Linked DNA regions of Arabidopsis thaliana. The main gene of each other region encodes a partner of the protein of the gene in region 2 in a complex. Each region holds a gene or a part of one and is shown on either strand. Other genes may lie near its edges. The genes, in order: CSN6A and COP9.

What was found.
Region 1: COP9 (region 2) and CSN6A share a complex: the UniProt entries of both Arabidopsis thaliana proteins name them as parts of the CSN complex.

Annotation. Positions count from the first base shown.
Region 1 is NC_003076.8:22,781,308-22,789,710, reverse strand, and holds CSN6A (COP9 signalosome subunit 6A), read left to right. Parts: upstream 1-4,105; 5' UTR 4,106-4,180; coding exon 4,181-4,478; intron 4,479-4,567; coding exon 4,568-4,656; intron 4,657-4,742; coding exon 4,743-4,836; intron 4,837-5,035; coding exon 5,036-5,097; intron 5,098-5,216; coding exon 5,217-5,295; intron 5,296-5,376; coding exon 5,377-5,469; intron 5,470-5,602; coding exon 5,603-5,703; intron 5,704-5,795; coding exon 5,796-5,851; intron 5,852-6,012; coding exon 6,013-6,094; 3' UTR 6,095-6,327; downstream 6,328-8,403. Other genes in the region: PEX5 (peroxin 5), read right to left, coding at 115-276, 579-698, 1,036-1,287, 1,750-1,943, 2,294-2,426, 2,523-2,651, 2,937-3,056; WRKY2 (WRKY DNA-binding protein 2), read right to left, coding at 6,574-7,117, 7,224-7,382, 7,458-8,403. UniProt on the Arabidopsis thaliana protein: Component of the COP9 signalosome complex (CSN), a complex involved in various cellular and developmental processes such as photomorphogenesis and auxin and jasmonate responses.
Region 2 is NC_003075.7:8,130,314-8,138,194, reverse strand, and holds COP9 (COP9 signalosome, subunit CSN8), read left to right. Parts: upstream 1-3,206; 5' UTR 3,207-3,327; coding exon 3,328-3,411; intron 3,412-3,519; coding exon 3,520-3,599; intron 3,600-3,973; coding exon 3,974-4,155; intron 4,156-4,663; coding exon 4,664-4,771; intron 4,772-5,006; coding exon 5,007-5,146; 3' UTR 5,147-5,315; downstream 5,316-7,881. Other genes in the region: XTH15 (xyloglucan endotransglucosylase/hydrolase 15), read left to right, coding at 1-274, 363-556, 635-1,034; AT4G14120 (uncharacterized protein), read right to left, coding at 1,383-1,570, 1,765-1,858, 1,948-2,196, 2,297-2,505, 2,644-3,010. UniProt on the Arabidopsis thaliana protein: Component of the COP9 signalosome complex (CSN), a complex involved in various cellular and developmental processes such as photomorphogenesis and auxin and jasmonate responses.

The DNA.
Region 1 (8,403 bases), on a different chromosome or scaffold from region 2:
CGGATACAAAGGCCATCCAAGACAAAGGTATACCAATAAATCAATTACATTAGCATGCTAAAGTGGCAAGTAAGACCCTAAAGTGAACAGATACTTCATTAAATAAATACATACTTTCTCATTTGCAAATTGATCAGCCCAACTTGGTGGCCCCAGATACTGCTGTTCATATTCAGTAGCCCATTCCCCGGGGGCTGAAGCTTGCTTGACCTGATTCTCATCAATAATAAGTTCACCACGGCTCATCTTGGAAACAAACTGAAGGAATCTTGAATTCTGCATTCACCAAACATGTTTGCCAAGTTTTACATAAATCGAGAACAGCTCAGCACATGAAGTCAACAGGAAAAGCATAATTAAAATTTGTGATATGATTTCAGAGATATTCGAATTCTAGAACATAGACCAACAAAAAAAAATTCTATGTTCAGTAAAAGATCACAGCCCAGAAAAGAGATATGTCGTCCAACAGTACAGTTTACAGCAACCTGACCGACTGATACTACTATCAAAGGCTGTTTAGAAATGAAGGAATTCACTTCGAAAGCACATAATTATTAATGGTAGGTTATACTGACCTGAAATTTCGGATTCCCATCTTGAGATAGTGTATGGGCAAGCTTACGAGTCTGCTCCATTGCAGCTATATTTTGCATATCCATACTTCTCATTTGGCTTGACATCAATTGAGATTGACCCTTTAGAAAGTTCAAGAAAATAAAAAGGATGAGGCGCCAAATATTTTCAGAAGAACATGATAAATTATCAGAAAGCCAAGCTGTTGGGATATCAAATGCGACTCAAACACTGATGACTAATACAGCATAAAAAAAGTCACAACAGATTCAGGCTTGTGAACAACTATGCCCTAGTGACTATCGAAATCAAAGTCTACACTACCAAAATAAATGCCCTCATAATGTCTTTGATACTCATTGAAAGCTTATAAACATATGTTTGGGATGGGCAATCAAAGAGAAGTTTCAAACAACTGAAGGAAAAAGTTTCTATCATATAGCTATTTATGCTAGTTACCTGCTCGAACTCAGTAGCCCACCCATTCACACCATGTTGTTGCTCAAAAGACTGGACCCATGAATCAGGACCACCATGATCCATCCCATGTTGGTTAAATTCAGCCGCCCAATTGTCAGCAGGATGTAAATTAGGTTTCACAACAGCTTGAGACTCATTCCAGTAATCATCTAGCTCCCGAAATCTCCCGGGAACATGACCTCGAGCTTGTATCCCATCATCAATATCTAAAGATGACAATAATGCGTTTACCTTGAAAAACAATGCCGAACAAAATATTCAGCCAACGACATGGAGAAGAGAAAACGGCTTAGGCCATCGGCAACAAACAAAAGGCTTAACTATACTGCACAGCTGGCATGGTCTCGAGAAATCCATACTAGATAGGAACAATTACCAAGTAAAACAACAGCTATAATTCCCAAACAAAAGCCCTGACCCACAGATGATTGTGATATATGACAGTGACAGTGCTACCTCGTTGCATTCCAAAATGTTACATTTTGATTTAAACTCAAGATGAAGGAGAGTGGACCTGAACTTTCTTGTAATTACACTTCGTTATATAATTGAATAGATCTTGATTTCAAAAGGGCAATGGGCATGAATGATATAACACCAAAATATTAAGTATATACTCGACCCTTAAAACCTAAGTTGAAAGCATATAACACAATGTTGCAGCTACAGAACACTATCAGATAAATGGCAAACCTGAGAATTAATAAATTCCTCTCCCCTATCGGCAAAAAAATGCCGGGCCATTATGCTACTACGATCACGTATACATTGTTTGTCACTTTGTGACAATCCTAGAACTGGAACAGGTGCTGGACGAAATGGAATACCACCACGGCTACTCTCAACAAATGAATGCAGAAAGTTTGATAAAACTCTCTGTGGGGGTCCTGCAATATATAAGCAATGGAAAAACTAATCAAGCAAGCAAACGAAAAATGCCTCACTCGACATTAGGCTATATAACTAAGACAGAGCTATGAATATTCAACGTGTCATTCAGGAGAAATAGGACTCATGGAAAGAAATGACCACACTATTTATTTCATGTCGCTATACTAAATTACTAACTAACACTTTCAGTGTTAACTTCTCTTCCTACAAAAATAATGTTATGTACTTCTCGATTCAAGATGAATATGTGAAAATATATACTACCTTTTATTCAATATCAAAACCACTACATCTAACCGTTTTGTATCCGGGATTAAATAAAAGTGGTATAGATCAAATCACAAACCTTCAAATGTAGGCTGAACTGGCTCAAACATAGGTCCCATTGGAGGCATAGGTCCACCTTGCTGTACCTCATCCCAAGCTGCACCCAAACCATTCTGATCAACAGAGCGAAAACCACGGAAGAACTCTGACCCCTAATGTAAAAATTGCAAACCCATCAGCCATCACAGAGGCTAGATAATCAGAGTCAATACTACCATTGTAAAACCAAAACTTTCCACAACATTAACCTGAGCACCCGGTTGCAGAAGTGGCTGATCTAACTCAGAACCAGGAAGTGACCTTATCTGTTGGTCTTCAGAGTAAAATTGTGGCCGAGGACCTGACCGGTTTGCATTAGGTATCTCCTTGAGCCTTTCCTGCACAACAAATCACCAATCATCAACATTTCTTCAAATTCTCAGGAAATTTTAAACCTTTAAACAATTGTCAGCCAAATCACTTGACATAATCGAAGAACGTCTAAAACCCTAACACTACGGAAAGAAAAATCGAAACTTGGCAAGCAAATAACAAAACCCAACGAAAAATGAGATCTAATTCGACTTCTTAGTTCCAGGAGAACCAAGGAAAAGGCGAAGAATGGAATCAGGAGACTTCAAATGTCAACACTGTTTCGATCAAAAAGGAATCAGGAAGCTAACCTGGGTTTTGGAAGACGAACCAAGTAAAGCGTTGGTGAGAGCTCCGAGAGGATTAGAAGAAGAAGACGAACCAGGAACGGCACAAGCGGCTCCGCCGTTAACAAGGTCTCTCATCGCCATGTTTCCAACGGGTTTCTACTCCTCCGCCGCAATCACCGTCGTTGAATCTATCAGTATGGTTTCCTCCGTTGTCCGGAATTGATCATCAACCTCCCAAATCCTAATCTTTAGTTTGGCTCGTCTCGTGGCGGTGTTTTTTTTGTTTGTTGTGTTTGGTCACAGCTTCGTAAGAAATTATTAAATTTTTTGATAGTATTTTGGTAATTAATATTTATATATTATCCACACCACACACATTTTTAGGCTCACCAACACATTTTTGTTTAGTTATTTATTTTTGTGAAAAAACCGTTTTTTACAGTATCCGTAATTAAAAATGAATTGTTGTGAATATAGTTTTTTTTTATCTTTCTTTATCAAGATATGTTTTATCTTTTTGTCCGATTTGCTGCCACTTTTGAATTTTGTAGTTTCCTATTAGTGTTGAATTATATTTGCTTGATCATACCAAAGATAAATAAATTATATTGCTTGATTTTTGCTGGGTTTAGTTATATTTCTTGATTGATTGTGCAATGCGTTACAAACGAAGGTAGATTCTACTCTTGTACTCATATCACACATTTGGACGACCAACATGACTTCACTAATTTCATCAATAACTAAAAAAAAAAAAAAAATTCATCTACATCAACAATAGTTACAATATGCTAGGCATCTCTAGATTTTTTTTTCCTTTCATTAACTTGCAAGAATTTACACACTAGAAATCAAACATTTTGTGGAAAAAATTATAACCTTTAGTCTAACCACTGAACTATTGAACTTTCATATTGAAAAATTTGATGAATGTTGTCTGTTTTCAAATTTCTAGTACATTTTTTGTCAACTTCAGATATCTGATTTTATGAGTCTCAATCGTTTGGTTTATCTTATTTTCGTTTGTTAATTAATATAATTAGTTTCCAAAATGAAAAAATGTAATTGGAAAAACAAGTCATGAGGCCCAACCGCATATATAAGTCCTACGCTCGGCCCATACAGAAAAAACTAATATCCATATAGTTGACCCGGAAGACCCGATCTAGGATCCGAATCCACATTGATTTAAATAAAAAAAATCTTCATAAAAAAACTAAAAACCCAAAAACCAAAGAATTCATCAAAGGAGAGAGAGATCGACAATGGCACCTTCGTCATCAAGCGGTTTAACCTTCAAGCTACATCCTTTGGTAATCGTCAACATATCGGATCACTACACTAGGGTCAAAACTCAGCTCAATCCTCCTGCTTCAATCTGCGCAAGCGGCCATGGCTCAAACAACGGCGAAGCAATGTTCCAGCAAAACCCTAGGGTTTACGGATGTGTGATCGGTGTCCAGAGAGGTCGTACTGTTGAGATATTCAACAGTTTCGAGCTTTTATATGATCCTTCTACTCAAACCCTTGATAGATCTTTCCTCGAGAAGAAGCAAGAGCTCTGTAAGCTAAAGCTCACTCTTTTTATTCTCAACTATTGATGCAATCGTAAATTAAAGTTTGAACTTTTATCTGGTTTTATTGTTTATTAGATAAGAAGGTGTTCCCTGATTTCTATATTCTGGGATGGTACTCTACGGGAAGTGATGCTGAGGAATCTGATATGCATATCCATAAAGCTGTGAGTCCAATGCTCTCTCTAGTATTTTTGTATAATTGAGATTTGGTCTCTAAAAGTGTGGTTTTTGTGTCTGCTCTTGGTGACAGTTGATGGATATCAATGAATCTCCTGTTTATGTGCTTTTAAACCCTGCTATCAATCACACACAGAAGGATCTTCCAGTGACTATTTATGAAAGTGGTATGCTTCTTATAATGTCATATGGTTCTGTGGGTACATTCTGATATGTTAGCATGTTAGTATAGGTATATGCGTAGTTCAGAGTTTCTAGATATCTTCCCAAGTCTTTATCTTTATTGACTTCCAGATTTAGGTCAGATTGTTTTACAAGATCCTAACTTTTCTCTTTGTTTCATTGATTGATCTTCATTACTTGAAGAATTGCATGTCATTGATGGAATCCCGCAGCTAATTTTCGCTCATACAAGCTACACAATCGAGGTCTGTGCTTAAGTTTGATTCTGCAAATAATTTTTTTTTTTTTTGTCAAACATTCTGCAATTTAATCTATGTTATGAAAGTGTACATTGACTAAGATTTTGAGGTGTTATACAATGTAGACAGTTGAAGCTGAACGGATATCAGTTGATCATGTTGCACATCTTAAACCATCTGACGGAGGCTCAGCAGCAACCCAGTGTGAGCCTTATGTCACTAATACATATCATACTCCACTTCCTGAGTCTTACTGTTTTTGGCTGATTATTCGTTCATATGCAGTGGCTGCTCATCTTACTGGTATACATAGTGCCATCAAGATGCTTAATAGCAGAATCAGAGTGCTTTACCAAAATCTTGCTGCAATGCAGAAAGGTATATTCTGTTCTTTCCCAAGTTCCGATTCTTATCACCGTGGTTTCATGTTTACCAGTCCAGGATTCTAGCTGAAGATAGTCAAAGTTGTGTAAGTGTAATAATTTATCTGCCAACTCATTTATGTGTGTAGGTGATAAATCTTGTGACAACTCAGTTCTGAGACAAGTATCTAGCCTGCTAAGAAGATTGCCTGCCATGGAATCAGAGAGATTTCAAGATAATTTCTTGATGGTGAGTTAGTTAGATCTGCACTTGATTCTTTTCAGTGTAGCTTATTGTCTGAGATATTTCGCAACTTATGCTGGCATTTTTTCTTTTTGCAGGAGTACAACGACAAATTACTAATAACTTACCTAGCGATGATTACAAATTGTTCCAGGTTTGTACCTAATGCAACATTCTAAAGTATTTGAAAGCAAGTATATAGGCTAGCGAATGCTCTTTAACTAGTGGTTCTTTAGGAACTGTGAAAGATACGGTTTTCACCGGGCTGGTGGATTCTGTTATATCAGTTAATAATTTTGTTTGCTCAATCTGCAGCAACATGAACGAGATGGTCGACAAATTCAACACCGCATATGACAGAAACACTCGAAGAGGTGGAAGAACTGCATTCATGTAAAAGATCCTTTCCAGCGATTCTAGTTCTAAAGATCTTCTCTTGGTTCCTGAAACCATTTTTAACATTGCCTCTGTGAGAATCTATAACTCAGACGGCAAGACTTTATCCTCTTCATTGTTTCTATATCTATAAGAACATCTGCTTATCTATCAAAGCTCTTGTTTGATCTTGAACAAGTTTCTATTGTTAGTAAAAAGATTTTAAGGTTTGATTCTATCAGTCTCTCTAGTTACATCCACATCAGTCTCCAGTTAGCAATTGCAGTATTGCTACACAACACTCACTTTTTTCTTCTTTGTTGATTTCAATATAAGATAAAGAACCAGTAAAAAAGAAGACAAAACCAAGGAATGAACAATAAAACAGCCTTTACCTTCCCCAAAGTTTGAAACCAATAAATGAAAGAAGAAGAAGAAGCAGAAATTAAAAGTTATTATAAGGAGTGACCAAATGCAGAAGAAGAAGAAGAAGAGTAAATTTCAAATCTGAGGTAATCTACTCATGATCTGGTTATATACCGATTGTCCTGAATCTGAAACCGGTTCAACCTTTGGTTCCATCCCTCTCTGCATCATTGCTTCACTCATCCCAACCGGTTGTGTCATATACGGGTGAGGCAAACCCGGCATTTTCCCTTGACCATACGCTAAACCAGGCATTGAAAGATTAACCAAACCGGTTTGTCCTAAACCGAAGGAGAAACCAGAAGGAGGACCCAAATGTGGCTGAAAGCTAAAGGGACGGCTAAAAGGAGACTGATTGTTAGTTGTGACTTGTCTGTCGAATCTCCCACGTGGCGGCTCTGAGTGATGACCGTTGTGGTAATGGTGAGAAACTGCGGCTGAACCGCCGCTGTTACCGTTACCACTATCACCACCGCCTCCGTGGCTGCTGTTGCGTGCAGCGGGGACGTCATGGTTATGTTTGCCTTCGTAAGTTGTTATAACGGATTTGAGATCATGAGAAGCTCTTTCAACATGTTTCCTCACTGTACATCCTGGAGCTGTGCATTTGTAATAACTCCTAGAAAAACATTATGAAAACGTTATAAAAAAAGAATTGGTCTTGTGATTGCCGATAAACATATAAACAGAACCAGACCAAAACAGAGGAGGGGATTATAAAGAACCTTGGATTTGGATTGCCTTTGACAACTTTCTGACCATATTTTCGCCAGCGATAACCATCATCAAGAATGTCAACATCACTCGTTGTCTGCACAACAACTCTTGGCTCACGTATGGCTCTTGTTGATCCACTCATCTCTGCTGCAAAAGCTTCTAGTTTCCTGTAAAATCAAAAAGTTTTTGAGTCTCGTTTACTGAGTCATCGAGGATTCGGTGTTTCGATTGCTAAAACAAACCTTCTTTTCGACTCTGATTCATCTCCTTCTCCTCCCCCACCTCCTCCTCCTCCATCGTAACCCAAAGAAACACTTCCATGTGTCCCTCGATCATCTTCATCTTCATCATTAGAGAATGTTGAAGAAGCATCAACCACAACCACAGGATCACCTGACTCGTATTGACCTCCGGTTTGAGCTTGAATTGATCCAGATTGGTTTCCATACTCGAATCTCGTAGATCCCTCTTCGACATTGTTCTCATTGCTTCCACCTTGTTGTTGAGTGTTATTACAACTAACCCACGTTGCAGCAGAATCTCTCTGTTGTTGTTGTTGTTCAACTTGTTCAGTTCCATCTACTTGCATCCCTGAGCGGCGATTAGGTGGAGGTTTAAGATGATTATGAGCTCCTTTGTATATAATCTCTGTGATGTGACCTTCCCTTGATCTCTCAACTTTCTTCTTCACCTGACAATTCGGGTTTGTGCACTTGTAATAGCTTCGCGGATACTCACTTCCTTTGACCAACTTTTGTCCGTATTTCCTCCAGTTATATCCATCCTCTGCAGGCGCACCACCAGCCATCGAATCACCGCGTCTTTGCTCTTCTTCTTCCTCTTGATGATCCACGGTTTCAAGACTGGTGTTTGTAGTGACATCAGATGTCTTGTTCTGCCCGTTTTGATTGTCAGTTTCAATCCCATAAAGATTGGAGCTTTCTATGTTTTCAGAGCCAGGTTTTACTTCTTCTGCGGATTGATGAGAAGAAGATCTATTGTTGTAGTTACCATAATCAACTGACATCATCTCTGTTGTGCCTTGGAAGAAAGAGGAAGATGATCTTGAAACAGGATGGAAGCTGAATGATGCTCCAATATCATCAAAGAACTCGTCTTTCGCTTTCTCAGAAGACAATGCATTACCATTAACACCAGGAAGAAATGGAAATTTCCCGGTAGTTGGAG
Region 2 (7,881 bases):
GGGTCCAAGTTCGAGCCTCACCACCATCGTGGCGACTGTTCTTCTTGTGACATTGTTCGGTTCGGCCTACGCAAGCAACTTCTTCGACGAGTTTGACCTCACTTGGGGTGACCACAGAGGCAAAATCTTCAACGGAGGAAATATGCTGTCTTTGTCGCTGGACCAGGTTTCCGGGTCAGGTTTCAAATCCAAAAAAGAGTATTTGTTCGGTCGGATCGATATGCAGCTCAAACTTGTCGCCGGAAACTCGGCCGGCACCGTCACTGCTTACTACGTAGCGTTTTCAAACTCACACTCACTCATAATGTTGCTAAAACTGAAGAGACTCTTTTCTAAATTTGTTTGAACGTACATGTTTGCAGTTGTCTTCACAAGGAGCAACACATGACGAGATAGACTTTGAGTTTCTAGGTAACGAGACAGGGAAGCCTTATGTTCTTCACACCAATGTCTTTGCTCAAGGGAAAGGAGACAGAGAGCAACAGTTTTATCTCTGGTTCGACCCAACCAAGAACTTCCACACTTACTCCATTGTCTGGAGACCCCAACACATCATGTAAACATCCATCGATCTATTTTCTCTAACAATAAGTGAAAGACGTAGATCTTGACTCTCTTGTTCTTGTCTCTGCAGATTCTTGGTGGACAATTTACCCATTAGAGTGTTCAACAATGCAGAGAAGCTCGGCGTTCCTTTCCCAAAGAGTCAACCCATGAGGATCTACTCTAGCCTGTGGAATGCAGACGATTGGGCCACGAGAGGTGGTCTAGTCAAGACTGACTGGTCCAAGGCTCCTTTCACAGCTTACTACAGAGGATTCAACGCTGCGGCTTGCACAGCCTCTTCAGGATGTGACCCTAAATTCAAGAGTTCTTTTGGTGATGGTAAATTGCAAGTGGCAACCGAGCTCAATGCTTATGGCAGGAGGAGACTCAGATGGGTTCAGAAATACTTCATGATCTATAATTATTGCTCTGATCTCAAAAGGTTCCCTCGTGGATTCCCTCCAGAATGCAAGAAGTCCAGAGTCTGATGAACACATATTACCTCATATTTCTCTGCTTGTTTGATGCAATTCTTAAATTCCTCTGTTATTCCATTGTACATTGTCAAGATCAATAAAGCATTCCTGGTTTCAAAATATAAAACAACTGAAATTAAACCTTTAAAGAGACTACTATTGTCTTTCACTTACCAATAAAGGACAATCAGAAAAATATGGAGACATAAGAATCAACAAGTCTAATGCATAGGTACCTCTAATGTTTTCGTTTCAGTTCTTTGACCTACAACTACAAGTACCTAGATGAACAAGCTCTGTGTAAACAAGTCAAATACGCTTAAACCCTATATACATGACTTTGTTACTAACTGATTAACACTAACAGCTAAACTCAGCTAACAAAAGTTGAGTTTCTTGCTCATTCTTTGGATCAGCTAGTGGCGTCTCAACGTTGTTAGAGCATGTATCTAAATCTGTAACTTCATTTGATGCCCCTTTAGCCTCAATAGCTGAAGCATTCTCCTCTATATTCTTCTGAGGATCTGTATGCGTGGTTTCAGGAGTTCCTAGAAGAACAATGAAAGAAAAGAGACATCAATTTCTAAGGCTACCAATTCTGACTTTATAATTTCAATACAAGCTAATATCATGCATTTATACTATCTTACAATTTACCAAGCCACAGAAGACAGTATTATTATCTGACTAGTACTGACATTGAATTATACCGTGTGCTAAACATGAATATAAAGAGACTAACCATGATTATCCTCTGAGTTCTCTTTGAGATATGAAAGCATTCTTCTGTAATTTACAGAACCTGGCACTTTAAATAGCTTGCGCCGGCAGCACAGCTGTTTCATGTCACAACAGGGAAAATGTCAAAAACAGATTCTTAAATAAGGAACAAGACTGCAGCTTCTTAAAAAAAAACAGATCATACAGAAATTTTGTTGCCACTGGATGAAGTCATCTTCTTGAAAGGGCTATTGTTTCCATGAGCTTTAACAAAGCTATTGGCAGATACGGTTTCAGGAAGTCGGTAATTTGCTGCCATCAATTCACCTCTTTCATCCTTAGGATCTTTTGCATCACCATCTCGGGTAACATCTGCAGCTTCCATCAAGTAAGGAAGCATTCTTCTATAGCTCACAGAGCCAGGGTTCTTGAAAATCTTTTCCGGATGACGAATCTGTATACATATCACAAGAAGAAAATTAAGCAACCAACGAAAAGCCAATATTGTAGTTTAAACGCATCATTTGCTATAAAACCATGAGTAAAAAACATACCACTTTGCTGCCGAGATTGGTACCAACTTTCTTCCCAGAGACCTCACTGATCTCTTGATTGATAGAACCTGCTTCATTTTTCACCAAAGAAAGCTCACCGGTGAACATTCCTAAATCCGGTGGCGTCGTTTGTGAGCATTCCACTACTTCTAAATCACCTCCAGTAGCCACTAATCCATCAACAAGATATTTGCTTCCTTCTCTCATAACTGTTTTCACCATTGTGTAATCATTATAGTTTCTAAACAGATATTGAAATTTCCTAATTCCACCTTCATTATATCAACATTCTCCTAAATTTTCTTAGAAAAACTTGTACAAGAAAAAGACCTTAAAATAAGAATTACCATTAGAATTCGGAGTATCGCAAGGAGATTCCACATTTAGCTCCTTGGTTAGATTTCCCCCTTTCACATGAAAGTCCCAATCACTAGAGATGGAACTAGGAGAGAATACGCGTCTGAGACACAGATTCTTCACGGTGACACGAGAACAAGTTCGGGGCATTTGAGTAACAATTTTCCCTTTGATCGGTGACGCATGATGGTGACGAAGATCCGTGACAATGTGAGACAATGGGGATGCAAATCGAACGGAGGAACGATTGCTCTGAGTTCGTAATTTGCTTGCCATAAGGTTCTGAGAGGTAGTATAACGAACTGAAGAAGACGAAAATCGCATCTTCTTCCTCAATATAGGATCTGATTCGGCCATGGTAGAACTCGCGCCAAGAGAGAGCTACAGAGAGAGAGAGAGAGTGTGTGTGAGAGTGAGAGAGACTGTTTGTTATTTTGGCGGGAACAGACCGGGTGGCTTTATGATGTTTGGCGGGAAACTAAGGCTTAGTGGGCTTGGCCCATTTATCCTCTTGTGTTTGGTCAATTTTTTGGTCGGTTTAAGTAAACCGTATTGAAAAGATTATTAAAACCTGTAAATCTCACAGAATTTATTTTTCTTTTCCCTGGAGTGGTTTTGGGAGTAGAATTGTCATCTTCGCAAAAGCTTCGAGAGTAGTGCAATCGAAACAAGTCATGGATCTTTCGCCTGTTAAGGAAGCTTTGGCCGCCAAATCCTTTGACAAAATCGCCGATATCTGCGATACTCTCATGCTTCAGGTTCGTAATTTCTCTCGCTGTCGTTGTTTCTGATGTTCATTAGGGTTTTGTGAAGTGGATTTTGTGGTGTTAATCGTTCGATTTATCGCTTCTTAATTTTTTTTATAGGTTGCTTCCGAAGGAATTGAATATCATGATGATTGGCCTTACGCAATCCATCTTCTGGGTTACTTTTACGTTGACGATTGGTGAGTTTATTTTCTTCTTTGATGTATTTGTTTGCGTTGTGAACCTAAAGTTAGTTCCTTTATGAAATTAGAGATTGTTTCGTTGAACTCTTGTGAATTTTAGCGCGTCAAAGTTGTTCTTACTACTTCGATTGCTAGGTCCTAGGTTGAATCTAAGGTCTAAAGTCTGCTTTTTACATTACCTTGTTTCTATCCAGTGATTTGAAAAATTAAAACTTGACACAAGTTAGTAGTTGTTGAGACCCATTTAACATTTTTTTCCTTTGTGTATTGATAGTGAGTGTAGTATGTTGAAACTATTGAGTTATGGTTGTGCCTTCTTGACTATGGATTTGGTTTTGATGTTTTGCTGTGCTTGTTTGGAAATACTGCAGTGATAGCGCACGTTTCCTCTGGAAAAGGATACCTACAGCTATCAAGGAGAGGAAGCCTGAAGTTGTTGCAGCTTGGGGGATTGGTCAGAAGCTGTGGACACACGACTATGCAGGTGTATATGAAGCTATTCGGGGTTATGATTGGAGTCAAGAAGCTAAAGATATGGTTGCTGCCTTCTCAGGTAAATTTTTTCTCTGTTTATGACTTCTTAGCTAGTATGAATTGGTTTCTTGAACTAAGCTTGTTGATTGCTTATGTAGTTGTGTACTTTTATTACTTCATATCCCTCTTTAGGTTTTGAGCTTTGATATACATATTGAGATCGAATAGTTGTTTTATTGTTTTAACTTGTGAGGCCTAGTTTAGGATTTCTGTTATGCACAGAACCACCTTTCATCTTATCATTGAACTATTGGAACTCGAATTTGAATCAAATTTCATCAATGTATGTGCCTTATCACTTCTTCATTAGAAAGTAGTTGCTTCTGTGGTCTAACTGAGAGAGAGGTAGGTAGACTCACACAGGAGGAACGAGTAAGCAGTTGACAGACTTTTCCAACCAAATGTCTAAACGTTGATCTGAATTTTGTGAAGTTGTACCTTTTTCCACATCAATTGTTCAACACCTGACCTTTATGGGTCACTTTCCATCAGATTCTAATTCTATTTCTGAATTGGTTTTGTTGTAGATCTTTACACAAAAAGGATGTTTCAGCTTTTGTTGTCTGCCTACTCCACAATTACCATCCATGATTTAGCTCTTTTCCTAGGGATGACGGAGGATGATGCCACAACTTGTAAGCTTCTTTCTGCAATTTCCTTTGCTTACAAAAGATTAAGTACCTCATTTCACATTTCTATTGAATTCTACTGAATTGATTCTTATATTGATACTTTTGAAAAATGTCGAAGAGTTTGTGGCAATGTCTTAGCTTAGTGTTATTGTAGGCATGAATCTTATGACAACCATATATGTTACGGAATCAGAATTAACAGTATAATTGTTTTCTTTATTGCTGGATATATACACAGATGTTGTAGAGAATGGATGGACAGTGGATGCAGCTTCTCAAATGGCGAGTGTGAAGAAACAAGCTGTTAAAAGAGAGCAAAAGGTGGATTCATCGAAGCTACAACGCTTGACGGAGTATGTGTTCCACCTTGAACATTAAAACTAAGTGCCGATCTCCTATTAAGATAGTGAAATTCTAAGAACAGAATTCGTTTTTGAGAGATTTCACAATGACTGATTCTAAGTTGCAACATATCTTGACTCTTTGAGTATATGATGAATAACTCCTACCAATTTTACTCTTATAAGATCAGTTTACACCAACAGGCGAACTAAAACAAACATTTAAAAGATCAGTTTACACAAAAGACGAACTGAAACAAACAAAAGATGAAGTCAATATTATGAGCCAAAAAGGACACAGCCTAAATAACACACGTTTTCAGAACAAAATTAGGCAGAAACAAGAGAAGATCATTTTAGCGACTATAACAAGCTAGCCAATCTCTGAGATAAAAGATGATAATCTTCAAACCGGAGAGGTACTCTAGAAGAATAGGAGCCATTTGTCGATCTAGTAGATGACAAGCTGGGGTTATCAGAGATTAATAATTCTTAATTTATTATTAAATTATCGATAAATGAACAATTTTAAATTTATTGAGAGATTTTACTATTCTTTTATAATTTTTAAAACTGGTTTATGTGAAAAGCAGTTTTTGTAGTTATAATCAACATCCTTTTAAAAATAATGAAAAATATAAAAAGTAAATAATTATTAAGTCTAGAAAACAAAAAGAAAAAAAAATTGATACTGTAGAAATATTAGAAATAAACTCTTCAAAAGATTAATACAAATTTTAAAAAACAAATATTAGTAGGAGTAATAGTTAGAAATACTCAAATGTAAACATAAATTTGTATTAATCTTTTATGTTTACGATAGGTTTTGGTGAATCGATAATTTGTTCATATTCCCTATCCCGTGTGTTTTTTGTTCATATTTTACTCTGTTATATCAAAAACCTAAAGCCTAGATAGTCTCATTTCTCAAGACTGATCCTTTTGTTAAAATCATTTACGCTTTGTGACTTGTGAAGAAGAAGATACATGCATCCTCTGCGCGAGTGAAAAAAATCTCACCTCTCAGTTTAGATTTTCCCACCAATCTAAAGACTGAGAAGGAAGACTTGTTGGTCCCAAATCATTTGTAATTGAATATAATAGTAACAAATTCAAGTTTAAGAAACTCTAAAATGTCTGTTTTAAAAAAGTGAACATGTCAAATTGAAAATCAATTATATAAAATCAAATGACATGCATTTTGGTTGAAAGAAAAACAAACTTCTCCATAAAAAGCCCAAAAACAAGCTAAAAAGAAAGCCATAAACTAAAAGTCTAGGGTTTTGGCGACATTTGTGGGTTTCTAGGGTTTTGGCGACATTCGTAGGTCTCTAATTCGGCGAGAGCACATGTCGCAGTTTTCAGACTCTAGTGATGACGATTCTTCAGGCACCATCCCAGATTTGAGGGTTGATTCTCTGGTTGAAACCTTGAAAACTCTTCTGATGAAAAAAAACTGAAACACTGGCCATGAAGCTTCTTCAGGTCGTTCAAAATTTCATTTTAAATCTGCAAATATGTTTGTTTATGAGTTTTTATATAATATATCTGTTTTACTGTCTATGTAATGTGTGAATCTGTATTTTTTTTTTTTATCTTTTGTTGATATAAAATATATGGATTCCCGTTTTTTGAGTCCACCACTAGAGACTAAGAGTATCTCCAACAAACACTTAAACCCTCAAATTTGAAGGTTTTTTGAACTCCAATAAACCCTCAAACCCTTATTTTTTAAAGGTCACACCCTCAAAAAAATTTTCTATTTCATTTTCGTCCTTATAATTTATATATTTTATAGATAGTTATATTCAAGAGTATTTATAATAAATGACTATAGATTTGAAAAGAATGTACAAACTAACCTTGAGTCACAGTATCTTCTCGGAAACATGTTGGAGAACACGTGTAATTACGTAAATGTCCTTTGTAACATGTTATTTTTCCGAAATACAGGCGATAACATAATATCCTCTTTTTATCTTGTTATTTTCTCTTATTACATAGTATTTGTAAAAAACACATGATATTTTTTGGAAAAAACATTCTATTCAGTTTAATATCTCTTTTTATCATGATATTTTGTAGTAATACACGTTTTTTATTAAGATCACACGTGATTTCTTTAAAAATATATTCTTATTTTTTAGTAATACATGGTTTTTATTAAAATCACATATAATTTTTATTTTTTAAGATTCTGTTCATGTAAAAGAATTTCATAATAATGTTTTTTCTTAAAAATTCATAACGTTTTTTGAAATAGCATGTTTTTAAACTAAATATAACATGTGAAATTTTAATGTTACATGCTATTTTGAAAAATTACACGGATGTGTTTCGTTTACTGTTCATCTTACAACAAATGAAGGGTAGCTTTGTTATTTCCTTTTTTCCGACAACGTGGGTCCATGGTTATTTTGTAACAAAAAACTTTCTCTCTGCTAGTTTCTTAATTTGTATGTTTTATTTGGTTATCTACTAATATTACCCTATATTCAATTCAATTATATTAAATATATCCATATAATTAAAATACATTAAAATTAAAATTAAAATTATTAAAATATAAAATATATTATATTTCAAAACAAAGTTTATACAACAATGATATTACATTGAGCAATTTAACACACATTAACATTATCATTTCAATAATAAAATTATACATGAAATACACGAGTTTTATTTTATGTTTCTTTTTTAATTTATATATAATTTTGTAGTAACATGTAAAGTTTTGTTTCTCTAATATTGTTTGACATTATTTTTTTG